Linked DNA regions of Ovis aries. The main gene of each other region encodes a partner of the protein of the gene in region 6 in a complex. Links are inferred from orthologs where the notes say so. Each region holds a gene or a part of one and is shown on either strand. Other genes may lie near its edges. The genes, in order: SF3A2, SF3B3, SF3B4, DDX46, SF3B2, HTATSF1 and SF3A3.

The links.
Region 1: HTATSF1 (region 6) and SF3A2 share a complex: the UniProt entries of both Homo sapiens proteins name them as parts of the 17S U2 SnRNP complex. The link is inferred for Ovis aries from reciprocal best matches to the Homo sapiens genes HTATSF1 and SF3A2.
Region 2: HTATSF1 (region 6) and SF3B3 share a complex: the UniProt entries of both Homo sapiens proteins name them as parts of the 17S U2 SnRNP complex. The link is inferred for Ovis aries from reciprocal best matches to the Homo sapiens genes HTATSF1 and SF3B3.
Region 3: HTATSF1 (region 6) and SF3B4 share a complex: the UniProt entries of both Homo sapiens proteins name them as parts of the 17S U2 SnRNP complex. The link is inferred for Ovis aries from reciprocal best matches to the Homo sapiens genes HTATSF1 and SF3B4.
Region 4: HTATSF1 (region 6) and DDX46 share a complex: the UniProt entries of both Homo sapiens proteins name them as parts of the 17S U2 SnRNP complex. The link is inferred for Ovis aries from reciprocal best matches to the Homo sapiens genes HTATSF1 and DDX46.
Region 5: HTATSF1 (region 6) and SF3B2 share a complex: the UniProt entries of both Homo sapiens proteins name them as parts of the 17S U2 SnRNP complex. The link is inferred for Ovis aries from reciprocal best matches to the Homo sapiens genes HTATSF1 and SF3B2.
Region 7: HTATSF1 (region 6) and SF3A3 share a complex: the UniProt entries of both Homo sapiens proteins name them as parts of the 17S U2 SnRNP complex. The link is inferred for Ovis aries from reciprocal best matches to the Homo sapiens genes HTATSF1 and SF3A3.

Annotation. Positions count from the first base shown.
Region 1 is NC_056058.1:19,189,566-19,192,670, forward strand, and holds the end of SF3A2 (splicing factor 3A subunit 2), read left to right. Parts: coding exon 1-1; intron 2-829; coding exon 830-879; intron 880-959; coding exon 960-1,100; intron 1,101-1,510; coding exon 1,511-1,579; intron 1,580-1,666; coding exon 1,667-2,485; 3' UTR 2,486-2,605; downstream 2,606-3,105. UniProt on the Homo sapiens protein: Component of the 17S U2 SnRNP complex of the spliceosome, a large ribonucleoprotein complex that removes introns from transcribed pre-mRNAs.
Region 2 is NC_056067.1:1,088,206-1,091,705, forward strand, and holds part of SF3B3 (splicing factor 3B subunit 3), read right to left. Parts: intron 3,220-3,500; coding exon 3,064-3,219; intron 2,527-3,063; coding exon 2,383-2,526; intron 247-2,382; coding exon 124-246; intron 1-123. UniProt on the Homo sapiens protein: Component of the 17S U2 SnRNP complex of the spliceosome, a large ribonucleoprotein complex that removes introns from transcribed pre-mRNAs.
Region 3 is NC_056054.1:100,033,289-100,037,524, forward strand, and holds the start of SF3B4 (splicing factor 3B subunit 4), read right to left. Parts: upstream 2,801-4,236; 5' UTR 2,764-2,800; coding exon 2,730-2,763; intron 2,284-2,729; coding exon 2,155-2,283; intron 1,924-2,154; coding exon 1,381-1,923; intron 1,062-1,380; coding exon 855-1,061; intron 1-854. UniProt on the Homo sapiens protein: Component of the 17S U2 SnRNP complex of the spliceosome, a large ribonucleoprotein complex that removes introns from transcribed pre-mRNAs.
Region 4 is NC_056058.1:43,891,725-43,895,224, forward strand, and holds part of DDX46 (probable ATP-dependent RNA helicase DDX46), read left to right. Parts: intron 1-1,114; coding exon 1,115-1,258; intron 1,259-3,500. UniProt on the Homo sapiens protein: Component of the 17S U2 SnRNP complex of the spliceosome, a large ribonucleoprotein complex that removes introns from transcribed pre-mRNAs.
Region 5 is NC_056074.1:40,571,895-40,575,955, forward strand, and holds the start of SF3B2 (splicing factor 3B subunit 2), read left to right. Parts: upstream 1-1,261; 5' UTR 1,262-1,286; coding exon 1,287-1,419; intron 1,420-1,587; coding exon 1,588-1,637; intron 1,638-1,926; coding exon 1,927-2,004; intron 2,005-3,102; coding exon 3,103-3,351; intron 3,352-3,564; coding exon 3,565-3,615; intron 3,616-4,061. UniProt on the Homo sapiens protein: Component of the 17S U2 SnRNP complex of the spliceosome, a large ribonucleoprotein complex that removes introns from transcribed pre-mRNAs.
Region 6 is NC_056080.1:98,729,608-98,733,624, forward strand, and holds the start of HTATSF1 (HIV Tat-specific factor 1), read right to left. Parts: upstream 2,801-4,017; 5' UTR 2,597-2,800; intron 2,396-2,596; 5' UTR 2,341-2,395; coding exon 2,155-2,340; intron 540-2,154; coding exon 359-539; intron 1-358. UniProt on the Homo sapiens protein: Component of the 17S U2 SnRNP complex of the spliceosome, a large ribonucleoprotein complex that removes introns from transcribed pre-mRNAs.
Region 7 is NC_056054.1:12,733,427-12,737,641, reverse strand, and holds the start of SF3A3 (splicing factor 3A subunit 3), read left to right. Parts: upstream 1-1,415; 5' UTR 1,416-1,502; coding exon 1,503-1,598; intron 1,599-1,875; coding exon 1,876-1,923; intron 1,924-3,219; coding exon 3,220-3,272; intron 3,273-3,378; coding exon 3,379-3,484; intron 3,485-4,215. UniProt on the Homo sapiens protein: Component of the 17S U2 SnRNP complex of the spliceosome, a large ribonucleoprotein complex that removes introns from transcribed pre-mRNAs.

The DNA.
Region 1 (3,105 bases), on a different chromosome or scaffold from region 6:
GGTAATTGTCGATGCCCTGGGTGGGCAGTCCCTCACCCACCTCCAGCTTCACCAGTGGCCTCAGCTTCCATTAGAGGCTTCCTGCCCTGAGGGCGGGGGCCTTAGTGTCTCCTCTGCTCTTTATACTCCTAGCAGAGGTGGGTGCGAGGGTGGGAGGGGACTGCAGGCCCTGGTGTAGTCCTTTCCTCTGACCTTAGAACTGGGTGCTGGTGCCTTTTCACATGGAGAGAGAGTAAAGGAAAGAGGAGGCTTACCTGGGCCAGCAGCTGCAGAGGATCGGGTTGCCAGGGAGGAGGGGAAGGCAGGCCTCCTTGCAGGTGTTCTTGCTGAAGTGGGCACACCCTGTGTATGACTGGCGTTTCAGACAAGACATGGCTTGGGAAGGCCCTGGAGTGGTCCAGCTTGGTGAGCCAGGGCGAGGATGGCACTACCCCCAGGGAGGCCACCACAGGCCTTTTGGTCAGTCTGGGTCATCTGGCCTCTTCCTGGCTGTGTCAGGGAGACACTAAGTGCCTGAGGGCGCATATGAAGGGCCCCGGAGCTGTGTGGAGAGCAGCCCAAAGCCACAGAGCTAGACTGTGATGGGCACCCGCTCCCAGAAGGTCTGGTGGAGGAGGGTGGGCAGTGGGGAGCCCACCCTCTGCCCCCACCCAAGTGATATCAGGCAGGTGGCACCTGGGGCACAGCCCTCCCACCCTTGGGCCAATGACTGCTAGTTGCCCAGCAGGGTGACCTCCCCCCACTTGCCAAGCCAGCTCTCCCATTCGTGGGTGACATTAGGCCAGTCCTAGGACCCCGTTACTGGACCTGACATCCTCCTGTGTTGCAGTAACCAAGCAGAGAGATACAGAGATGGGCCAGCAGAGCCTCCTTTTCCAGGTGAGCAAAGGCCGGGAACCCTTTGTCCTGAGGGGAGGGGCCCCTGAGAGGCAGTGCTGTCACTGGCCGTGTCCCTGCAGATCGACTACCCTGAGATTGCCGAGGGCATCATGCCCCGACACCGCTTCATGTCTGCCTACGAGCAGAGGATCGAGCCCCCGGACCGGCGCTGGCAGTACCTACTCATGGCCGCTGAGCCCTATGAGACCATCGCCTTCAAGGTAGTTTGCTGGGACCCCGGAGGGTCCTGCAGGGTCTGCTCCATCCAAGCAGCTGGCCCCAGCCCACACCAGGCGCCCCCTCTGGGCCCTTGCCTCCTGAGGGTTGTCAGAAGACGATGCAGAGTGAGGGCAGGGGCTGGGTGTCCACCGTGAATCAGACCCTGGCATGGCCCTAGCAGTGAGGTGGCCCTGTTACCAGGCTGTGCAGGACTCTGACCTGGTCCAATTCTCAGATACATGTTAACGAGACAGGGTAGGTTGCAGCTTCCCTGGGTGGCAGGGCTGCTAAGCAGTGGAGCAAGAATGCCAGCTGTCACCCCCACGTCAGACCCTGTTCCCTCATAGAAGGGCCTCCTGGGCCAGGCCATTTCATGGTCCTGAGGGCCTGTCTGCCCCTCTACCCCGCACAGGTGCCAAGCAGGGAAATAGACAAGGCTGAAGGCAAGTTCTGGACTCACTGGAACCGGGAAACCAAGCAAGTGAGTCAGTCCATGTCCATGCAGTTCCCCATCCTTCTCCCACCCCAAGGCCTCTGGGACCCTACTCAGTTTTTCCTGTCTGTCCAGTTTTTCCTCCAGTTCCACTTCAAGATGGAGAAGCCACCAGCCCCACCGAGCCTTCCTGCTGGGCCTCCTGGGGTGAAACGGCCCCCACCCCCACTGATGAACGGCCTGCCCCCTCGCCCGCCACTACCAGAGTCGCTGCCTCCGCCCCCACCAGGAGGCCTGCCCCTGCCACCGATGCCGCCCAGTGGGCCTGCACCCTCAGGGCCCCCAGGCCCTCCTCAGCTGCCCCCACCGGCTCCTGGGGTCCACCCACCAGCACCGGTGGTCCACCCACCAGCCTCTGGGGTGCATCCCCCTGCTCCTGGGGTCCATCCCCCAGCTCCTGGGGTCCACCCCCCGGCACCAGTGGTTCACCCACCAGCATCTGGGGTCCACCCCCCTGCTCCAGGGGTCCACCCTCCAGCCCCAGGAGTCCACCCTCCTGCTCCGGGAGTCCACCCTCCAGCCCCAGGGGTCCATCCTCCCCCATCTGCTGGTGTTCACCCCCAGGCACCAGTGGTGCACCCACCAGCTCCTGCAGTTCACCCCCAGGCTCCGGGGGTGCACCCGACTCCTGCCGTTCACCCCCAGGCTCCAGGGGTCCACCCACCAGCTCCTGGGGTCCACCCACCAGCCCCTGGGATCCACCCCCAGCCTCCTGGGGTCCACCCCCCTCCTCCTGGGGTCCATCCTCCGGCTCCTGGGGTCCATCCTCAGCCACCTGGGGTGCACCCCTCAAATCCTGGGGTGCACCCCCCAACGCCCATGCCCCCGATGCTGAGGCCTCCACTGCCCTCCGAAGGCCCTGGGAACATTCCTCCCCCTCCCCCCACCAACTGAAAAGCCACCCCCATCCTAGCAAGTCTGGTTTGGTTTTCCTGGGTTTCGCCCTCAGAGTAGAGTTCTTTTGTACTGGGCTGGGTGTCCTCAGAGCTCATTAAAGAGTCTGCTGACCCTGAACTGGACTGCTGTGTTAACCTGTGGGCGGTCAGCTTGCTGTGGGTGAACACACGTGACTGCTTTCCACCACCATAGGGGGTGTCAGGGTCCCACCTGGACCACAGGGGGTGGCCCCTGCTGTCTCTGCAAGGACAGACCCTGTGGGCCAGCAGAATGTGGGGTGGTTCTCTGGGAAGACAGCAGAGCGAAGAAGGCTGCTCACTCTCCTTGGGGGTCTCTGTGGGCCTCAGAGGTAGGGTGAGCGAGCACGTGGGGTCACTGGGGGACAGACCTGCCTACCCGATGTGAAGCGTCATCCCCCTTGGGGCTGGCACCTGAATCCTCCTGGGGCAGGGGCTCCACACCTTGCCCTCCAACACCCCCAGGTTGTTGATAGTCTGACTGTCTGGGGCATGCACTCCTGCTCACATTCCTGCTCTGGGGAGGGGAAAGATTTGTCAAGGACAGTCTGACAAATGGGTCACAGGCCACACACACTGTATCACTGCTCAGGAGATAGA
Region 2 (3,500 bases), on a different chromosome or scaffold from region 6:
TAAAGCTAATGTCCAACTAACTAACTACAACACTGGTGAATTACTGACAGCAAGATTTACACCACAGGGCTCAGCTGATGCCACTAATATCCACACACACATTCTGCCCCTTTCATTACTTACTGCCTCCTGGCCTTGCATCCGGACACGAAACAGTTTCACAGGACGGGACCCCAGGTACCTAGTGCGGGTGTCAGACAGGTCCCCAGTGACAGGGTCCAGGACAGTTCTCAGCAACACACCATTCTAATAAAAATGAGAGAGGTGGTTAAGGCCTACCCATAATGGAAGCTTCTTTAGCTACCCTATTTCAGTTGGAAGAAAATGACTGGGCGGTTTAAATATATAGTCATCAGCCAGCCATTCATTCATTTTCCTAAACCACTCACTCAAATAGTTACTGAGCATTTACTAAGTGAAAAGCAGTTTCCTTTTACCGTATATCCTTAAAATTTTTTACCCTTTATGTTAGACCCTTTACAATTTTAAGATACATGTACAGTTTAACATACCCATGCCTATTGTGGTCTCTAAATACCACTTCCCTTAAAAAAATAAAAGATTCCTGAGAGAAATGCCTTATTCCAGTCTGAAGCAAAAATGTTCTAGATGTGTGTGGAGTACTTTCTTGTGCTAGGAGGAAGCCCCCAAAGATAGTAGGCACCTGTTAAATGGACAAAGGAGGCAACTTCAGAAGGAAAATTCCCACTTTTCTATATTGTGGCAACTTAGCTTCTAAAAGAAAGACTGTGATAGTCTGATGTAAATATAAAAACCTGCAAATGTTATCTAAAATTAAAATAAAAAGCATTTCAGCAGTCTTCACTGGAGACTGCGATGGCACCAACCTCTTACTCTAAAAATAGTGAACAAAGGGGGAAAAGTGAAGTGTTTATCCAAGAACTCAGGTTTGAAGGCTGTGATGCAGCCCCCACAGCAGAGGCAGTAAACTGGATGCACCATCCAGAATCAGGAACACACGCTCCGCCCTGGGGATGAGGAAGAATCGCGCTGTGATTTTCTGGGAGGCCAGCACAGGCGCAGGATGGGAAGTAGGAAGGTCCCCAAGAACAATGATCTGGTTTCTTTTTAACAAGTTGAGACAGTTATTAAAAGAAATGTGAGGGCTTCCTGGTGGTCCAGTGGCTGAGACTGTGCTCCTGACGCAGGGGGCCCGGTTTCAATCCCTGATCAGGGAACAAGATCCCACATGCTTCAACTAAGGCCTGACACAGTCAAATAAATAATGAAATAAAATAATGTGAGAAGATTAAGCAGATAAAAACTGGACAGTTTTATGCATTCTGAGTAGAACCAAAAGTAAAAACTTTTTCCAGAACAGGATAAAAAAGGGAGAAAATGAGAATATGGGGGTATCAGATGATACTAAGGAACTTACATTCTGTTAACCATAATATTAGAGCTTCAAAACACACACACACGCACTCCTCTGTTATAGCTACGTTCTCAAGCCCTTATAGATGACACTAAATTGGATCTGCCTTAAAGAGAAGAGAAGGGAAAGGCAAAATGCTGGTAACTGGTGATGGGTGCATGGAGGTGCATTTCGTTAGTCTAACTCCTGGGCATGTTTGAGAATTTCTAAATTAGGAAGTAAAATTAAAAACCAAACAGTCTCCTGGGCTAGGCGAAAAAAAAAAAAAAGGATATGGTCAAAACCCCTGATACTCTCTGATTCTTGGGTTCCTGCCTTTCATGCCATGAAGAGCCTAGGTGCTTTGACAACAGGGTACACCGAGGAGCCCTTTACTGCTAACGGAGCCCATCATGAACTGTGAGGCCCTCTGTATCCTTGGATTTCGAATCCACAATTCAACCAACCACAGATCAAAAATATTTCAGGGGGAACAAAAGCAGAAAATGCCAAAAAACTAAACTTGAATTGGCTGCACATGTACAGCAACTATTTATACAGCATTTACCTTGTATTAGGCAATTAAGTAATCTAGAGATGATTTAATTAAAGGTTACGAAAAAATACAAACATTATGCCATCTTATATAAGGGACTTGAGTATCTTCTGATTTTGGTATCCAAGAGAGATCCTGGAACCAACCCCAAGGACACTGAGGGACAACTGGATTACAGTCTCACAACTGCAAACTGTGGAAACCAGAGGCAATATAGCTCTGTCCCAAAACAGTCACTGCTAAGCAGTTTTATCAGACTCTAGAAAATACTTTTTTCCAGCCCTGATTTCTTCTAAATTAGAGCTAAAACAAGTGGAACAGAGAGCAAAACTGATCCCTTCTCACAAGGCGGGTAACTAACACACAGGCACAGAAAACACCTGCGTTACACAAAGCAGCCATGGAGAAAAGACGCCCTGACCCCAGGAGTGAGGGTTTCTGGACCTCTTACCTGGAGTCCAATATTCAGGTACAAGAAGCCAATAGAGCCTCTCTCCCCCAGCTCATCCTGCTTCTCGGTCCCACCCATTTCCACAATACACAAGGACTCGGGCTGGGCCGGGAGAGCCTGCATGCTCAAAGGCTGTAAACAGTCCTAAAGTGGAAAGAGAAAACAGAATACGGCAAGTGACCAACTCTGGAAAAAAACCTACCCAGAAAAATCTAATTCTTAGAAGTGAAGAACAGCTCTTTTTCATGGACATGGAAAACCTGAAGAATGAGTTCTCAACAGGTACGGGGTCACTAGAGAACTAAACCTTAAAACAAGCTCTGGAGAGGATTGGGCTTTCTCTTTTTTGTAGAAGTGGAGAATGGTAAAACTAAATAAGCAAAGGGTACCTCTTTAGAGTCATCTAAGGCTCTTTTCTGTAAACACAGTCTTGGATTTTGTTTTCGTTCGTTTAAACTAAAAAAGGGAATCAGGACTTAAGCCAAAGACACATTTAGTAGTCTTGGATCAGTCCTTTTAAAGCACTGCAGGCGATTCATGAGGTGTGCTGCTACAATAATCAGAAGCAGCAGAAGTCTAGATTCAGGGCCCAGCCCAGCTGATCTCAGAGAGGGACATCAAGAATGGGCCGGGTGCTCAGGTTCCAACTGGAAGATCCTTGAAATGGAGGGTGACACTCACCGAGGGGTCCAAGGAGATGATCCTGACAGTGTTGTCCACCAGCCCCACAGCCAGAAAGCGAGACCGCTGCTCCCCAGGGGGCACATTGGCCAGGCTCATGCACACCACATCCGCCGACATCTCCTTCCGCTCCGTGTACTCGTTCAGCTGTCCCGACTACAGGATTGAAGACAGGGAGAGGTCACAGACCACGCCACCCCGTCCCCAACTCCCGAGCCTGGAGAAGAAAGGGGGCTTGCTAAATAAGTTCTTTTTTGCTTCCTCTCACTCTATCATCGACGAGCAAAAATTTCTCAACTTGAGTTTCCAAGACTGAACTCTACAGGCTAATGGCAAGCAAAATTACTGACAAGATAATAAAGAGACCTTTGACAAGCATAATGCACCAAATTTCCTAAGCCAACCTAACTTTTAGGAAATGAAAATATATCACTGTT
Region 3 (4,236 bases), on a different chromosome or scaffold from region 6:
GCTGGTAAAAAGTGCCCTTATCTTTGACTCCATCCCAAGAGAATAAATCAACCAACTACCCTACAGCTCCCCAGTCCCTGAAGCCCATTTGCTCCTTCCATGATTTAGGCATTGTAACAGTGCTGCAGAATGGCGTGATTATTCTACTGAATAGAATCTGGGAAGATAACAGAGACACTGTCACAGCAAAGATCTAATTCTAAAGGATGAACAGGAATTTTTCAGGTGGACAACAGAGTGGGAAAAGAACATTCCAGGCAGAAAAAAATCAGCAGGTGCAAAGCATGGATGTGATCAACAGCACAGTATGTTAAAGGAAACCCAGTAGAACAGCTTGTAGTCATGGGAGTAACAGGCAGGAGCCAGATTATGCAAAGCCTAGAATGCTATGATAGCGAGTTTGGGTTTCACTCTGTAAGTAAAAAGGAACAACCAGAAGAATTTTGAGCAAAGGTGTGTGAATATCTGTATTTAAGAAAAATTACTCTGAGATAGTCAATCAAAGTAGAGATAATTAGAGTCAAAGTGTCAGTTAGGGTATTACTAAAATAAATTAGGTGTGAAATAATGAGGATAGGAGAGCCTGGGCTTCCCAGGTGGCGCTAGTGGTAAAGAACCAATGCAGAGAGCCTGTTGTTCTCTTTGGTAAAACTTAAACAAGAAATGAAGACAGCATGATGGTTGTTAAAATAAACGGTAAAGTATCTTGCATTTTTTTCCTAAAAGAATGTCTGAAAGAAAGGAGAGCTTGGGCACTATCTATTATTGTTAAAGGACAAAGAACAGCAGCATTAAGTGCTGACAGAGCTCCTCCATCAAGCTCATCCCTCTCCTTCCCAGCAAAGAACGCTCACCTGGATGGGGCATCCCACCAGGTGGGAATGGGTGAGGATGTGAGTGTCCGTGTCCAGGATGTCCAGCCCCTGGGGTTCCCGCTGATGGGGGACCATGTCCTCCAGCCCCAGGAGGCATAGGTGGTGGTGGCATGGCTGGGGGTATCCCAGGAGGAAGGGCTCCAGGAGGTGGTACTGGAGGTGGGAAGGAGCCAGGAGGAGGCATGCCTATAGAGAAAATGGAAAAACAGTTAATGATAGTGAGCAGAGAGTGCCTTTAGAGAGCCTGTTCCACCCTGGCCTCTCCAGGCCGAATGAGCTCTTTTCCCCTCCTCCCAGCTCTCTGAAGTCAGCGGCAACATTAAGTGACTTGAACAACAACCTTCTGGAGAAAACTCAACAACTTTCTTCCCACCACAATCATCATCCCTCAACCCCTTTCTCATCACCTAATGACTCAATGTCCTCTCCTTGCCAGGTTATTTTTCCTTCTTCCTGGCCCCACCCTTCCCAACCCAACACAAACATTTTTTATCAAAAGCTTTACCTGGTGGAGGAAGCCCAGATCCCAATGATGATACCACAGGATTGGGAGCAGATGGTGGAGGGGGTGCATCTGCAAATAGCTGATGAGGGCGGTCAGCCTGGGAGAGTGGGTTCTGTGCTGCCAGAAGTCTTTCAGCGGCTGAGCCATGGCGCTCACCCTTGGAGTCCTTCTTGAATGCGTAGGACACAGTGATTGGGCGGTTACAGAGGTACTGCCCATTCATGGCCTCAATCGCTGCATCCGAAGCATCAAATGAAGCAAAATTAATAAAGGCATAACCTTTGGAGTTGCCTGTGTCAGGGTCCCGCATAATCTTGGGGGTTTGTAAGATGACCCCAAAGGCGCTAAAAGTATCATAAAGCAACTTCTCATCAATCTCCGGGTCCAGGTTCCCAATAAAAATGTTGGCCCCCACATCCAGGTTTTTGTTGTGAGCTGATGCCTTGTTCACCCGTATTGGCTTCCCATAGAGTTTGATCATGTTCATGATCTTAATGGCATAGTCAGCATCTTCCTCACTCAAGAATTCCACAAAGCCATAGCCTGGGGAAGTGGAAAAGAAGAGGTTAGCAACTGAAGTGATTTAAAAACGAGTTTATAACTCATTTGTCTTCTAAAGCACAAAGGATAAGAAATAATAATCCCAACTTCAATTGAGAATGGTTCCAGAAACAAAATCTTTAGTTTGCTCACTCCAAAACTTAATATCACTGGAGACCTCCAGGAGCAGTCTGTCCCTTTCATAGATAACTGTACTTTTTGCCGTGTACTCACCTTGGTGCTGACCAGTGACTCTATCCTTTGGCATGTGCGTGTTCACTACTGGTCCTGCCTGGAGAAATAGTTCCCACAGCAGTGGTTCGCTAACCTTCTCATCGAGGCCCCCCACGTACACAGTGGCATCTGGAAGACAGGATTAAGAGGTAAGGACAGAGATGAGGGGAAATAGGGAGGTAACGGGAACATGAAGATGGAACCCAGGCGGAGGAAGTGGACGTGGAGATGGGGTAGAAAAGCGAAAAAACAAAAAGATGTTAGATTAAGCTTTTAGAAGCTCCTCCTTTCCAGAAAATAGACAATCTTATGTCTAATTTAGAGTGACGGTGCAAGTTCACTCTGTAACTTTTCTTTTTCTTTTTTTTTTTTTTGAGTGGGAAGGCAGCAGAGGACTGGACACAGCATCACAACTATAGGCCTCAAGTCTGTCCATCCCGTCCCCATAAGGCATCGGGACCAGTCTGGCGCCCTTCGGAAAGGCAAAATCTCCCGCCCCAGCGGAAACATTGCTGGGCCTAGTCGAGGTCCCTCAAACCCCCAGAGTCCATTCTGGGTCTGTCCCCTCCAGTCACCCTGGTTTCGCTCGGAGATCGGCCCGGCAGCCATGGCGAAAGCGCTCCCGCCGTCTCCAGGCAGCGATCCCGCCCCCTGACCTCAGTCACTACTTCCGCTTCCGAGGCGAAGGCTGACGTGAGGTGGTGGGCGGGGCCGCGGCAGGGGAGGAGCCGGAAGCGGCCTCGGCCATCTTAGGAGACGCTGAGACTGGAAGCGGCTGAAGTAGCGGTGCGCTTCGGTCCACGCTCCCGTGCAGAAGTGCTACTATGAGCGGACGCGGCGGGGAAAGTGAAAAGGAAACGTTCTGTCTCTTTTAAGGCAGTGCTAGAAGTTAAAGGGTCACACTGCTCCCGAAACTGTCACTTCAGAAGCTGGGAGAACAAAACTTTAGTTTTCATGTGTTTTGTAGCCTTTTTTTCCCCCTTAGAAGGGTGTACAGAGGAACCGCTCAACGCAAGGCGTGGGGAGAACCGTCCATCCCAACCCGCAGTCCTTGAACAGACGCGGCCTCACAGCCCAGGCCTGAGCTTGAGGTATTTCCTTTTTCCTCAGGGAAGGAATTGTGGAATGTCTGAGCTCGCCTAGTCACTGCATAGGAGGGGAACCTGAGGTTCGGAGGTGGGGTGGTACCGAAGTTTACGGGGGTTTGATACTGAAGCCCAGAGGCCGAGGCCGAGGCCGAGGCCGAGGCCTTCAGAGCACACCCTGAACTCCAGCAACCTCTGGGCGTGCCTTTGCCCTGTCTACACGGAAGAGAGGACCTTAAATTGTGAATCCTGCAGCGCCTCACGCAGCCCAGCCCCTTACTTCCTTAGCAGTAATATGGTCGGTACCGTCCCTTCGTGGGTCACATTCCTTTCCCTCCTCTCCCACCACTCCCTTACCTAAGGTTCCTTTAATCAGACACAAACAATGCCAGCGGCGTGTATAAATATTGTGCTTTAATGAACTCCTTAAATAGAAATGTCACAATGAAAATATATAATTGGAAGAGATAGGGTGTCCTGTGTATATTCCATACCCATAGAAAACTATAAGGGAAGAAATAGAAATTGGAATTAAGCAGCAAGAGGAGGTGAGAAGGAGGTCTGTAGGCCATCTTGTTGGCACTGATAAACAGTATATCTGATTATCACAATTTACCAGCGCAATATCCAAAATTTCCATCCCAAAGACATGGAATTGCCCTGAAAAAGAGAGGCAGTCTTCTGGATTGTTGTTGTTTCTTAATTCTTCAAATGATAAGAACTGTTTAAACCAAACAAGGCAGGATAAGAGTTGGATAAGGTTAGCACCACTCATCCTCAATAGAAACTCAGGTCAGTGATCTTGTTTATGAAAGCTGAGGCAGCAAGACCAGATAAGAAAAACCGAAGGATTAGACAAAACTCTCCCTCACCCCAGACCACCCTCTGCCCTGCCCATGAGAAAGCCAGCAATTTCAACGGGATTGGGAGAGAATGGTATTTGGGTTTCTTTTCTTGGAGTGATCCTCGGGAGATATTCGTGGTGTCCATTTCCTTA
Region 4 (3,500 bases), on a different chromosome or scaffold from region 6:
CCCCCAGGAAAGGTTTAAAAAAAAGAAGTAAAAGTTGAGGTAGCATGCCATTGAGGGGGTTCTAATCTAATCCTATCCCAAGAAAGCCGATCCATGTGTTCAGAGCCACCACTAGTGCTGACTGGAGAAGGAAGAACAGAATGGAGCCATGTCTGCTTCTTGTTTGAAATGATTTTAAAGAATTTTTTTAGATTTAACCAAAGAACATGTTAGGTTTTAAAAACTTGTGCTTGATTAAATATTCCTTGGTACCACCCAAGCATCTGTAACTTCCCTGTTGGTGAAAAACAGTCTTTAAATAAAAATACTCTCACATGCCAAAGAAAGTTTTCTAATAAAGTTTCTCTTTAAAATAGGAAAGAAGACACGGTTATACAGGTGCTGTGAACTGATCTCAGAAAGAACTTTGAGTTTATCTTTTTGAGATACTGGTTCTTAGAGAAAATATTCACCCATAACAATGTGGATAGTATTAACTTACTCAGTTTTATACTATGTGGCCTCAGGAACAGTTTCATACAGTACAGTCAAGTACTTATTAAGCATCATATAAGATTTGGTCTCTTACTTTTTTTTTTTTGGTCTTTTTTTGATGTGAAAATAAAATTACAAGATTTTAGAGCAAGAAGGATTTTGAGATTATTTGGTGATGTCTCTGCATTATATAGATTAAGGAAACAGACCCAGAGAGTTGATCTGCCCTGTGTATGTCGCTAGCTAGTAGCAGCACCAGGATAGAAATTCTTATCTCCTAATTTTTGTATCTGTAATCTTTCTACAGCCCCGTTCTGCCCATCCTTACACTGAGGTTTTAGCTGTCTTTGAAGTTTAGATTTTTTTGCTCTAGGTCATAGATTTCGAATAGCTATTAGTACATATTTCCTCTGTTTCTCAACAAACATCGTTTCGAAATTAGTATCCTTATTTTCCCCATTGACCGCTTGTAAGAACTGGCTTAACTTGTTCCCTGTTAAACTGATTTGATAGTAAATTGAAATCTTGTCTTTAACAGTGGTAATAATTCAGAAGCTTCTTTCAACATGAGGCACAAACCATGATCTGAAATAGAAGTTCTACTTGGTCATAGAATAAATGAAATGTGTCCCCATTGCAGGCGTTCCAGAAGTAGAGAGAGAGATAGAAGTCGAGAACGAAGAAGATCTCGAAGTCGGGACAGGAGACGTTCAAGGAGTAGAAGCCGAGGCCGAAGATCCCGGTCTTCCAGTCCTGGCAATAAAAGCAAGAAAGCTGAGAATAGGTAATGTTACCATTGGCTGTATCTATCATGCGGGTTGGGAACTCTCTTCCCTACATTAAAAAAAAAAAATCCTTGTAAATACTGAATTTGGCTGCTACCGTGAGCTGTTAGCTTAATTTCATTTCAGTAAGTTATAAAGCTTGTAGTGCTTTTAGAAGATACCTAAATTCTGTTAGTTTTAACACTCATAATGCATTATTCCTTCATTTAATACCTACTGTTAATGATCAGAAGTACATTTTATATACATCTTTGTGGGAACTATGTTTTTTTTCTTTGAAGTTATTTTCTTAGTGTTTCTACTGTTGATTGACAAATAACATTTTTACATTGCTGAACTGCTATTCATAATGGGTGAACTTTGCTTGTGTAAGTTAAATCTGCATGTTTCCTTAAGATGTTAGTACCATTCAATTTTGAGATATTAATTATATCTATTAGACATAATATGTTTACTCTATATTTCTCTTGTTAATGCTTTGTTCTTTGCCTATTAGTGTTTCTAAAGTGGTGTCCTGGCATATATAGCTTTGTTTTTGTTTTTTTTGTATTGGTTATGAAGATTTTTCCTCATTTATTTACTTTATAAATTGTACTTTTGTTTTATCAGGTCAGTGTTATAATGCCCATTGGGATAATTTTAAATTTAAAATATAAATTCAGAGAAATGAATGAAATACAAACATGCAGTTTATTGAAAAAGTATAAAGCAAGATTCATGTAACCACCACCAAAGTTAAGAAATAGAACATTATCTGTATCCCACTGGAAGCCCTGCATGTCCCTTTGCTAACCCAGCTTTCTATTTGTCTAGATAAAATCATTGCTGACTTTGGTGTTAGTAATGTCCTAATTGTTTCTTTATAAATGGAAAAAGAATAATTCAGGTTTATTGTTTTTTAATTTTATGTGAATGAGTCATGTCTTCTGTGTTTTTGGTAAACCTTGGGAGTTTGCTCTGTTGCTCATAACATTGCTGCTGCTGCTGCTGCTACTGCTAAGTCTCTTCAGTCGTGTCCGACTCTGTGTGACCCCATAGACGGCAGCCCACCAGGCTCCCCTGTCCCTGGGGTTCTCCACGCAAGAAGCCTGGAGTGGGTTGCCATTTCCTTCTCCAACGCATGAAAGTGAAAAGTGAAAGTGAAGTCGCTTAGTCGTGTCCGACTCTTAGTGACCCCATGGACTGCAGCCTATCACGCTCCTCCGTCCATGGGATTTTCCAGGCAAGAGTACTGGAGTGGGTTGCCGTTGCCTTCTCCGCTCATAACATTAGTTTATTTTATTGCTGAACCACTATCCTGTGGTGTAAATATGTGTGCTCAGTTGTGTCTGACTCTTTGGGACCCCATGGATTGTAGCCTGCCAGGCTCCTCTGTCCATGGAAGTTTCCGGGAAAGAATACTGAAACAGGTTGCTGTTTCCTCCTCCAGGGGATCTTCCTGAACTGGGGATGGAAGCCAGATCTCTTGGGTCTCCTGCATGGGCAGGTGGATTCTTTCCCACTGAGCCATCTTGGAAGCCCCGTAATATAAATATTCCGCTTTATTTATCCATTCTGCTGAGCTGGATGTTTGAGTTGTGTTACCTCTGAGGCTGTTATGACCATCTTTGTATATATATATCCTAGTATCCATGGGTATGGGCTTCCGTGGCGGCTCAGTGAATAATCCACCTGCATTGCAGGAGACCCGAGTTCCGGAGTTGGACACCACTGAGCGATTAAGCATAGTAGCATATACACATGTATGCGTTTCCCTTAGGTGTATAGCTAGGAATGAAGTTACATTGTCATAGAATAAACATAGCTTCACTTTAACTAAGTAATCCCAAATGCTTTCCAAGGAGTATATACTAATTACACTTCCAGCAGTATATGAGAATTGTGTCCCTTCATACCCAGTATTAGGTATTGTCATTCCTTTAAATTTTTATTTGATAGACATGTAATAAAAATATCATTATGGTATTAATTTGCATTTCTTTGATTACTGGTGAAGTTAAACACCTTTCCGTATGTTTTTTGGTCATTCAGATTTCTTCTTCTAAAGTACATGTTTTAAAAAATACATGTTTAAACCTTTTTCTCATTTTCCTATTGGTTTTTCTTTTTAAAAAATTGATTTATAGAAGTTTTTGTTTTTAAATGTTCCATATAATTGTCATTTGTTATATGAGTGGCAGATATTTTTACTCTGATTTATCTCTTTCTCTGTAATGATACTTTTGAGGAACAAAGACTTGG
Region 5 (4,061 bases), on a different chromosome or scaffold from region 6:
CACACATACATGCACACTGGCTGCGACCTGGCTGTCTGTGAGACAGCAGCACTAGAATGGGAACGGGATCTCAGAGCTGGAGGCAGAGGTGGGAAGATGAACTGAACTGACTGATCAGGACAGGGAGAAGCAGAAGGGGGCAAGCAAGGGCCACCTGCCCATCCCTCCCTCAGGGGCACAGGCCGCTGGTGGGGTAGGAGAGCACCAGACAGGGTCTGCTGCGCCAGTAAGCTGGTGGGGATGAGGGAAGAAAAGGTCCTGAGTTTATTTTCTTTCTTTTTCGGCCTTGCGGTGCGGCTTGTGGGATCTTAGTTACCTGACCGCGGATGGAACCCGGGTTTCCCCAGGGAAAGCACTGAGTTCGACCCACTGGACCACCAGGGAATTCCCCTGCGTTTATTTTCAAGACTAAAAAAGGATCCAAATCTTGTCGCTTAAGACTGCTTTTTTTTTTTTTTTTTCCCCCTTTCAGTAATAATTCATTGAGCACTTCTAACGCCAGGTACTGTGAGACCGTAAAAACTCATGTCTTGGGAGTTGTAAGTGCAGAAAAGGGCAAGAAAGATTTCAAAACAAATGGTAGAGGTTTGGCCGCTCCAGAGCAGGAAAGGCGGGAGACAGTTTAACGTAGATGACATTTGAGACGGCCAGGAAGGTGGAAAAAGGGGCTTTAGTGTGGCCCTTCCCCCAGGTCGGCAGCTGGATCTCAGCCCGGAGGGCCGGCTTCGTTCCCGTCTCCGATCTCCTTTCAGCCCATTCATCCATGCCTGGGCCGGGGATGGGCGGGCAGACAATCAGACACTGTTTTATCACAGGCATCGGCGGCAAACTCCCGCTTGGCGCCCACAGCGCGCGACCGCCGGGGGAACGAGTCCCTGGAGAACGTGAGCGTCCAGGCCTCTCAAGTCCAACCAGGGAGTAGCGCCGCAAGGCGGGAGGTCTGCGCTGAGGCCAGTGAGATGCAGAAAGCACGCCCTTCGGGCAGGACCTGCTTTCCCCACAGCCCCGCCCCGGCTCTGGCCTCCAGAGTTCCCCGCGTCGCGGCCGGCCGCGATCCTCCCGGATTTGAATCCGCAGAGATCGTGACCTGTGCACTACAACTCCCAGAAGGCTTCGCGACCAGGCGGCCTAAGGAGCATTGGAGAACGGTAGGGGGTGGGCCCTGATGGGAACTGCCTGGCAACCCTCGAGCGGACGTGGCGTATCGCCCTACCGGAAGTTCCGGGAAGTGGGTCCGGAGGCTGGTCCGAGCTTCCGGGTTGGTCGCGCGCCTTCCTGCGGCTAAGATGGCGGCCGAGCATCCGGAGCCTCCTAAGGGAGAGTTGCAGCTGCCGCCGCCGCCGCCTCCTGGACACTATGGTGCCTGGGCTGCCCAGGAGCTTCAGGCCAAATTAGCAGAGATCGGAGCTCCCATCCAGGGTGAGGAGCATGGGAAGTCAAGGGCAGGAAAGTGCAGGCCTGCGGGGAAGCGGAGCTGGTTACCCCGGAGACCCGGGGGCGGGGGTTAGAGGCTGGCCGCGGTGGCCTGACTTGGGCAGGCTGGCCTGCTCGACCTGACCTACCCCGTTGATCCTGTGCTTTGCTTAGCAGGGAGTCGCGAGGAGCTTGTGGAGCGATTGCAGGCTTACACTCGCCAAGTAAGTGTTGGTGGCGGGACATGAGGATAGGCCGAGCGTTTGCAGGAGGCATTAATGACCCGTTACAACTCGGTCTTCGTTGTTTACGAATCTCGGTACAGCAAGTGGGGTCTTGGCTGCTTCGTATCTGCTGTGTTATAATTGCTTTTGTATATATCGTTTCTTCCCAGAGCCCATTCCGAGCTCTGGCAGACAGTCACTGGGTAAATTTTGTTGAATAGACGAGAGCGAACGCTGTTTCATGCACCAGCTCCTTTTAGACTGCCCTAGATTCTTTTCACTTTCACAGACTGGCATCGTCCTGAATCGTCCCGTTCTGAGAGGTGAAGATGGGGACAAAGCTGCTCCTCCTCCTATGTCAGCACAGGTAAGAAGACTGTCTCACTTGATAAGATTCTTTTCTACTCAGAGTAGCTCCTCCTCTGAGCGTACAGGGGGATACACGTAGCCCACTGGGCAGGGAGGTACACTGATGAAAGAACTGGGAACTCTTCAGTTCTTCCTTCGTCCAGATTCTTACTTCCTTTCTCAGTGTCAGTTCCTCCAAATTTCATGTGTCATTTAAGATTCAGCTTAAATATCTGGAAACCTGACATAATCCTTCCCCAGCTGGAAGTAATCACTCTCTTCTCTGCCCTCCCTGTGCAGAGTTCCCATGTTATTCAATGAGAAATTAGGGCTTACTCTCTGATTTAATTTCATACCTTCTATATTTAATCAGTCATTGGGGCACACTGGGTCTTATTTATTTAAATACTCTCAATTTCCATGTCTTTTCTGATCCAGGATTTGATAGTTTTTCTGTAGAGCAGTGGCCCTGACTTGGGGTCCAGGGACTTCTATGTGTGGCATAAGAAGGTTTTTATTTTTTGAGGGGTTGAGGAGTTTTTCAGAAGGCCTTTAGAGGTGTCCGTGAGTCTCCTGAAATTGTATGTGAAGTCTGTGTTCATGATGTTCTTCTGGGACAGAGTTGACAGCTTTCATCAGTTGGTGGCACAAAGTTAAAATGCTCTTCTTTCGATACTGCCGTAGAGTATTCTTTCTTTTTTCCTTTATGTCTTTGGCTGCTCTGGGTCTTCATTGCTGTGTGCAGGCCCTTTCCAGTTGAAGCGAGCACAGGACTACTGTCTAGTTGTGTTGTGCGGCCATCCCATCGCAGTGGCCTCTGGTTGCGGAGCACGGGCTCCAGGGTATACGGGTTTCAGCAGCTGCAGCACACGCGGCACATGGGCTTAGTTGCCCCGCAGCACGTGGAATCTTCCTAGAGCAGGGCTCGAACCCATGTGCCTTGCGTTGAGCGGATTCTTAAACATTGGACCTTCAGGGAAGCCCTGCATTTTCTTGAATGCAAGAATTGTGCATCATTTGACTTTGAATCCCAGTGCCAGCCTTATATTAGTTCCCCAGCAAATGCCTGCCATTACATAAATGCTTCATAGTTAATGGCCTTTTTTTCCCCCCACAGCTCTCGGGGATTCCCATGCCGCCCCCACCCATGGGTCTCCCTCCTCTACAACCCCCTCCACCACCCCCACCACCCCCACCTGGCCTTGGCCTTGGCTTTCCTATGGCAGTTGGACCCCGCCCGCCAAACTTGGGGCCTCCTCCTCCTCTCCGGGTGGGTGAGCCCGTGGCGCTGTCTGAGGAAGAGCGGCTGAAGCTGGCGCAGCAGCAGGCGGCATTGCTGATGCAGCAGGAGGAGCGTGCCAAGCAGGTAGGGCAGGTGGCAGCCTGAGCCTGGGTCTCACCAGGGTCCTGAAAAGGGAGTAGGGCCTCCAGGGGAGCCGGATCCTGGGGCCAAGGCTTCTGGGAAGGTCTGGACCCAAGTCTTCAGGGCCTCGGCTGGAAGAGCAGACCAGGAAGCAGAGCTGTGGTAGACTGGCCGGTGGGGTGTGGGTACTGGAATGAGCTCGTTTTCTTTCTTAAGCAGGGAGATCATTCACTGAAGGAACATGAGCTTTTGGAGCAGCAGAAGCGGGTAATGCCTCCCTCTTCCTAACCTTTGACCTCCATGGTCTAATCCATCGTCTGTCACTTCTAGTGCTTACTGTCTAAAATTAGCCGTGCCATTCAGGTTTCCCATGGAGATTACCTCATCCTCATCTAAATTCCATTATCTCCCAAATAATTCTTTCTTTCACATAGCCAAGGAATTGGTAATCTGTGGACTATAGCCTGTTTTTGTATGGCCTGTGATGTAAGGATGGTTTTTATATATTTGAAGGGTTGTTTCGGGGAGATGGGGGAAAGGAATTTACAACAGTCTACAAACAACCCAGAAAGCCTAAAATATTTACTGACTGGCCCATTACAGAAGAAATTTCCTGACCCCTACTGGGCTTTCCCAATGGCTCAGTGGGTAAAGAGTCTGCCTGCAGGAGACAGGAGATGTGGGTTTAATCCCTGGGTTGGGAAGATCCCCTG
Region 6 (4,017 bases):
TACTGTCAGATCTGGCCAAGCTGAAGCAAAATTGACTTGTTTAACTTAACTGGAAGTACCAAAAAAAAAACCAAAAAAAACCCAAACCAACCATATAAACAGAACTTTAAATAATCTTCTAATAAGAATTCTGTTTTGGAAAGGAAGAAACTGAGAACTGAACTGAATTGAAACAATCTGCTTGATGCCTATAGGTTAGTGGGAGAGCCAACACATGAACCCCAATAAAAATAATAATAATTAAAAATACCCATCTTATGATTCTGTCAAAGTTATAATTCTCCAAAAAGTAAATACATATACACATACTCATATTTTTAACTTTTATACTCATGTTTTGCAAGCTAAATCTACTTGCCTGATTCAGCCTTTCTCTTTTCTCCCTTCTTTTTCAGATCACTGGGTTCAGGGGGTTGTCTTTGCGGAGGTTCTTCTGCAGGCCTGGCACTGACATCTTGGATACTTGCAGTAGAACTCGATGCGCCATCGTTAGAAAAGCCATAATTGGCCTGATATGTAGCAATGAAATCTTCAGTGATCTAAATAAGAAGTTTAGTGCACACACACACACACATTAAAAAATGATTTCCTACTGTGAAAAGTTTACACTGTATTAAATAACAGTATATTCAGTTATACAATGTCACATTTGAGTGTTTCTGTGGATAACAGTAATTAAAGCATATATGAAGAACAGTCACCTACATAGAAAACTGTGCAAGAGAATAAAAAAATTAAGACATGGGTACTTGGATTATCAACACAAAAGTCTGAGATACTATTAAAGGCATTTTAAGTGATGTTGGCACCTTTCCTAGTTGTTTCATTTGTAAATTACTATCTCTGTAGTCTACTTGACGAAGACTACAAGTATATATAGCAAAGGAAGTACCAGATAACAATAAACAGAATAAAAACCAACAGTCAACTAATAATCTAACAACAGAATCAAATTTTCTTTTACTATACAGATGAACATAAGGATATGTACTCAAATCACATTATCATTTAATGTCAAAACAAATCAAGAACAAATCCAACTCACATCCATCCTCCTGGCTCTTAGAGAAAAGAACAATTGTACAATGAAACAAATGTAGTTATATCTTCCTACCAGTCAATGTGAGGCACACATAGGAATGAGGAAAATTTTGAACTTGGAAGTTTGAAGTGGTATGGGTTCCATAACATAAAAAGATAGAGCCAAAAATTACTATACTATCAGACGACTGTTGAAGTACTCAGAAGGCTGAAGAAACCAAATCTGCACTCTAGCTGGCACCACCAGTACCCAAGTGAAATGTTAAGTTTAACAATTTAGAGGGATTGGAACATACACACAAATAAAAATTGGGAAAGAAAACAGTTTAAATAAATAATTTAAAAAATAACACTCAAATTACACAATGCAGACACGGTTTGCATCACTGGCTTGCAAATCTATTAGTGTGCGATAAGTATCCTTTTTTTTCCACCTGTACCACAAGACTTTGATTAACAGGGTACTCTGACCAAAAAGTTTACAGAACCAAGTTTAACATCCGTCATTTTACTTCCAAGCTGAAACTGAATGCTTAAAAATTTACAGGTACTCTAAATAAATAGGCACAGATCCTTTCCATCCAAATTCTGTGCTCCTCCTGTCATATTCCTGTAGTGATATGGTTCAAATATACGTGTCTAGGACCAACTTTAGTAGGAAAGAAAAAAAAAGATGCAACCTTTAATCAGTAAAAATTTACCAATTTATCAATTTTTTTCAACTCAAGAAGTTGCATTTTGCACCTAGCACATCAGTTAACCATCTGAATTCCTAGGATAAGATTGAGACTGCCTTGAGATTAACATCCATTGAATTTGCTCTTGATGTTTTTCTCTTTGCAATAAAAAGCAGTCACTGACATAAACCAACTGCAACCTTCATAGATAAAATTAATAAGGCATAAAAAGGACTTAAGAATTAAATTACATTGAAGACATCTTCCTAAAGATTTCCGTTCCTTTACACGTCGGTTCTGCCACAGACACAACAAAAAGAAACGTCACAACCAGAGGGGCTCTAACCCAGGACCTCAGCAAAGAAAACGTGAAAGGAGCGCCCCGCGAGGCTGGCCAGGTGGGCCCGCTGTGCAGCGGCGCCCGGGCGACTCTTACCTTGGGGAACCAAGCCTTCTTGTCTAGGTCCCACTCGTACGGGGTGTCAGTCGGCTGCTGCCCGAAAGAATCGGTTTCTCCACCGGGATCTTTCTCGGTGTCGTCGTCCTTGGTGTCTCCGTACAATTCTTGCATTCGCAACTGCTCATCAAACTCGTCATTCGCATCCAAGTTGTTGCCGCTCATGTTGCCCACTTAGCCTAGAGGCAAGGTCCGGTCGAGCGAAGAGGCCGAGCTGATGCTGGAGGGGAACAGAGAAAAGGAGGTTGGCCACACTCAGCTCGCTCCCCACCGCCCCCCGGCCCGCCTCCCCGCGGCGCCCCAGCAGCCCCCGGGAAGTCAGGGCCACTCGGCGGCCGCACCGCCCCCCGCTCCGCCCGCTGCCCGCCCGCCGCGCGCGCGCGCGCGTCGCAGGTCCCGGCCCCGCCGCGCCACCGCCCACCTGATTCGCCCCGCCGGGCCTCGCCGCCGCTGCCCGATCCGGGTCGAGGCGGGAGCGCGCACGCGCGCCGCCGCCGCCGCCGCCGACCGGGTCTGAGGCAACTGCGGCTCCCGCGTCAACGTCTGGAAACCACTTGGAAACCGAGGCCCGCTCAGGATGACGAAGTCGCCATTGTTGGCGCGTCGCGTCGTCGCGGGGCGCACCGGCACGCCCCCAGTGGCGTCAGTAGGAGCCGACACGGGCCAGAGGCGTGGGGCCCCGGGGGCGGGGCTCCGGGAGCTGCGCTGCTGCCGAGCGGAGATGCTCAGCAGGGCTGTCCTGGCGCGGGGGCCGCGGGGAGCGCAGGGCCTACGGCCTCTTGGGAACGTTGGGCTCCGCGGGGTCCGCAGCGGGGCGGTAGCCCAAAGGCGTGGGAAGATTCCCACTCGGCCGGCGCCGGAGCAGGCGTCGAGGCGGCCGCCATCTTGGGGGAGTGGACGGGACAGGCGGGACAGGACGCGCTGCGACAGAAAGATGCGCCTCCTTCTCCCAGAGGCCCCTCCTCCGCGTGGGAAACGAGTCTTTCACTTGTTTCGTGAAGACTTCCCTAGGAGAGCCGGGTTAGCCCGAGCTGGTAGTACAGGGTCTGATGTATAGTGCGTGTGTGGTGAGTGAATGAATGAACGAACGAATGGTGAGTGGAAGGACCAACCTTCTCTCCAAGTCTCTGCTCCGTCCTTTTCTTTCTGGTACCTTCCTCAGGCTGGAGATGACTCTGGAAAGGAAAGGCAACAGTTGCCTGTCCCTTGTTCTCCAAATTTCAGACTTGCTCAAGCTACAAATCTGAAACTGTAACATCCAGTGTACACACCACCTTTACTGCCCCACTAACGTCGTTTTTTGATGTTTTAGGAAAAAAGTGCATGTGATAGAACTTACATGCATATTTATAGTGTAGATAACGAGTTTTATTGGGCTCATATACGTTTTGCTAAATATTTCTTTTAGGATCCAAAAATAGTATTCAGCTGTTTTCAGCAATATGTTATTGAGCTTCCATTTCATTCCTGAATAGGTTCACAGCATAGGTGAACTAAGCAGTTCATAGGTATACTAAGCAGTCCTGCTGCACGTGACTCTGAGCGCCTGCTGTATCCACAGGCCCTTCCGAGCAGGTGGCCAAAAGTTGATGTTTAGCTCCTGTGTGACCCAGTTGGAGGCCTGTGAGGTGACTTGGTAGGGTAGCCCCGCATTCTAGACTGAGTTTGACTCACTGAGCCAGTAAGCCTCTCCCAGAAAGAGGGACGAGTAGGAAATGTGGGCATGGGCAGAGTAGTCTTCTGTGGCCAAGTTCCGTATGGGTGAGAGGAGAAGCTGAGGCAGTGATAGAGGGTCATTGAGTCACCACTATAGTGGAGTTGGGAGCGAAACATGCTTGTAGC
Region 7 (4,215 bases), on a different chromosome or scaffold from region 6:
TTACATATCATAAAATTCATTCGAGTGTACAATTCAGTTGAGTTTAGCAAATTTAATAGATTTTTGCAACTATCACCACAATTCAATTTTAGAATTTTGCTACTGCTACTGCTGCTGCTGCTAAGTCACTTCAGTCGTGTCCGACCCTGTGCAACGCCATAGACAGCAGCCTCCCAGGCTCCTCTGTCCCTGGGACTCTCCAGGCAAGAGTACTGGAGTGGGTTGCCATTTCCTTTTCCAAGAATTTTTCTATCACCTCCAAAAGATTGCTTTTGCATTTCCTTCCCATCTCACCTCTAGCAGCAGGCAACCACTCACCTACTTTCTGTCTCTGTAGATTTGCCATCTGGACGTCCACTAATGTGTGTGTGTGTGTGTGTGTTGTTGTTTTTTTCTGCGTGTCTGCTTTCTTTCACATAACATGATGCTTTCATGGTTCATCCATATTGTAACACTCCTTTATTGCTGAATAATGTTCCATTGTATGGATACACCATATTTGGTTTGTATATTTACCAGTTAATGACTGGGGGTAGCAGCTTTGTTGATAATGAATAGTGCTGCTATGCATGTCTGCACATATGGACATAGGTTTTCATTTCTCCAGCTAGATGTGGGCATATAGACTTGTTTCGGTTTTTTTTTTTCCAGTTATATAATATTTTACTGCTTGAATGCACTATATTTTATTTAACCAGTCCCTTGGGTTTCCCAGGTGGCACTAGTGGTAAAGAACCTGTCTGCTAATGCAGGAGACATAAGAGATGTGGGTTTGTTCCCTGGATGGGGAAGATCCCCTGGAGGAGGGGATGGAGACCCACTCCAGTATTCTTGCCTGAAGAACCTCTTGGACAGAGGACCCTGGCGGGTTATGGTCCATAGGGTCGCAAGGAATCGAACATGATTGAAGCGACTTAGCACGCACGCAGCACTGCTGATAGACAATTAGGTTGTTTCCACATAACAAAAGAGAGGAAGGGAAGGAGAAAGAAAAGAATAAATGAAAGGAAAAAAACCCGCGATCATTCCCATTTTACTGAGGGAAAAACGTTGTCACAGGTCACACTGAGCTGGAGACTCAAGTTCCGGTTCATCAGCTCCCATACGTGCGCGTCAGCTACTCAGTCCAGGTCCCTACCAGCACGGCCGCACAGCTAGGGAAGTCCCCGCCGGCCAGGTCAGATTCCTTAACGCCAGGCTGATGGATTTCTGTGTGCCCCCTAGAGGCACCTGCAAATCGTTCGGTATCGCGCCACACACCTCCGGCCAGCAGGGGGCACTGCAGCAGTCTCCATAGCACGGACTGGGTCTTTAGCGGTGCTCACTTTTCCTCGAGTCCCCGAGGAACTTCCGGCAACCGCGGAACTTTGGTGCCTCCGGACTCGTAACTTGCGGACGCGGGCGCGCAAGGCGGCAGGGGTTGTTTCCGGTCGTGTTGGTGGACTGGCTTGAGCTGGGGCGGCAGCGACTGCGGCGGCGGGGGAGGAGAAGGAGGAGGGAAGATGGAAACGATTCTGGAGCAGCAGCGGCGCTATCATGAGGAGAAGGAACGGCTTATGGATGTCATGGCCAAAGAGATGCTCACTAAGAAGTCCACGGTGAGTGGACCTAGGCAGGGGCTACCGTAAGGCCGGGCCCCCGGCCCGGGTTTAACCTCAGAGTTTTTTTCAGCCCTCAGACCCGCCCCGCCCCGAGCCCTTCGGGGGATTCCCTCCCCGAGCTCAGGCCTAGGTAACCTTTCCCCGGGGCCCAGCGCCCAGAGGCCTCTCTGCTTGGGCTGCTAAGACCCGAGCAGGTAAGCTCCGCCCTCGGGCGGCCTTCCCAACTCCAGAATTCCGACTAACGGCGTATATGTCACCGTTTGCCTTTTTTCAGCTCCGGGACCAGATCAATTCTGACCACCGCACGCGGGCCATGCAAGATGTGAGTGTCCCGCTGTCCGCTTCTCTTTGGGCACGGTAGACTGGAAGAGGAGGGAGGGGGTGCGGGAAAAAGGTAGCCGATTGGCCAGTCGAGGAGTTTGTATGCCTGCCGAATGTACGCGCCGAAAGCAACCCTGAGGATGTTTAACCACCCTTACTCCCTTCTCCGAATGGAGTACTCTTACTCATTTTTAATTACTAGAGAAGATCCCCTTTACAGCATCCTGTGTCCCATGGATGTGCAAAGAGTAGTTATGAGGTGTCAATGCCTCAGGCTTAGAAGGTACTCTCCTTCTCCCCCATAGAAAAAAAAATAAAGACCCTAATCAGAGTTTCTGAATTAGGATAGATAAATATTACTAGCCCCTAATCCCTTATTTAGATTCCCAAATCCAAAGTATTCTGAAAACAAAAGATGTTTTAATTTGTTTTGGAAATTATTTGGTGGCAAAAATCTGACTTGATCTGATCAGATGAGAGGTTTTTTATGGTCTTTATCCCATTCAATAAATAACATAACTTTCACTGCAGAACTAATTAATGTGTTTTCCAGATCCCACTAGGGATATTTCATGTAGTACCTTCCTGAATTCCAAATTCAGAAGCAAATCTGGTTCCAAAAGTTTTGGAGAATGGGCTATGTACTTGTGCCATCCTGAATTTGAATCCAGAGGAAGCTGTGTGGTGTTTTACTTAGCCTGAGCATTCCTTAGTCAAGCCTTTTGAAATAGTGGAAGTCAACTTGGACTACCCTTTTATCTTTGAGAGTCTTTGATGGGAACTGCTGTTTTCCAAAGGGTGACTCTCACATGGCTCTCTTTTACAATACAATACTTCTACTGTTGTTTAGTTGTTAAGTCATGTCCGACTCTTGCAACCCAATGGACTGTAGCTTATCAGGCTCCTCTGTCCATGGGATTTCCCAGTCAAGAATGCTAGAGTGGATTACCTTTTCCTTCTCCCGACCCAGGGATCCAACCCACGTCTTGTGCATTGGCAGGCAGATTCTTTACCACTGACCCATCAGGGAAGCCCATGACTCTTCTAGGGAAAGTTAAATATGGGAACTCTGCCACCCCTCAAAACACATTTCTTAGGTAATCTTCAGAGTGACCTGTTTTAAAAATTAGCTAGGAGCCAGTGTTGTCTGTTAAGGGTACCAGAAAGCATAAGAACTTTTAACACCACATGTCTTGAAGTTTTCCTGAGATTTGACTAGAGAGCCCTTGTTGGTTGCTTGGGTCTCAGTTGTACGGGCGGATTGCTTCATTCTAATGGATTTGTGTTTGCCTTTCAGAGGTATATGGAAGTCAGTGGGAATCTGAGGGATTTGTATGACGACAAGGATGGGTAAGTCACAGTCACATTCAGTCCAGCAATTACTGCTTTTGAGGGGCCATGGTTAAAGGACTGACTTTGTGCTCCATGTTTTCTGGATTTTTTTCTGAAATTGCAGCTTACGAAAAGAGGAGCTCAATGCCATTTCAGGACCCAATGAGTTTGCTGAATTCTATAATAGACTCAAACAAATAAAGGAATTCCACCGGAAGCACCCAAATGAGGTATGACCTTGCAAAGTTTTTTCTCCAGTCCTGTCCAAAGAGTATACAAAGGACATGTGTTAGGAAAATGGAGATGGTCATTCAGATGTCCTTTCAAAAAGGAACTTACCAGTTAGCAATAAGCAGCGTAGTTAGGTGACATCCTGCAACTGCGAGTTCTTTCAGAATTTCCCTCAGCTTTAAGCTAAAGCCATTCTCTTCTAGGGCTTCCCAGGTGGCTCTCATGGTAAAGAAGCTGCCTGCTAATTCCCTGGTGGTTCAGTGGTAAAGACTGCCTGCACTGCAGCAGTTGCAGGTCCAGTCCTTGGGTCTGGAAGATCCCCTGGAGGAGGACATGTCAACCCACTCCAGTATTCTTGCTTGGGAAATCCCATGGACAGAGGAGCTCGGCGGGCTGCAGTCCATAGGGTCGTAAAGAGAGTTGGGCACGACTGAAGCGACAGAGCACACATATTCCTGGGCAGCCCCTAACCAGCGACTGAACACAGTGTGGGGGAGGGGTATCACAGCCTGGTTATTTCTGCCCACTGTGAGACTTTCAGTGAGATTTTCTCATATCTACATCATGGTCTAGGCTCTCTCTGCTCCATCCCTCCATCCTGCTCGCTCTCTCCTTTCTTTTTTTTTTTTGGTGGCCACACCTCATAGTTCATGAGTTCTTAGTTCCCCAAACAAGGATCAGAACCGTGTCCCCTGCATTGGAAGCATGGAGTCTTAACCACTGGACCACC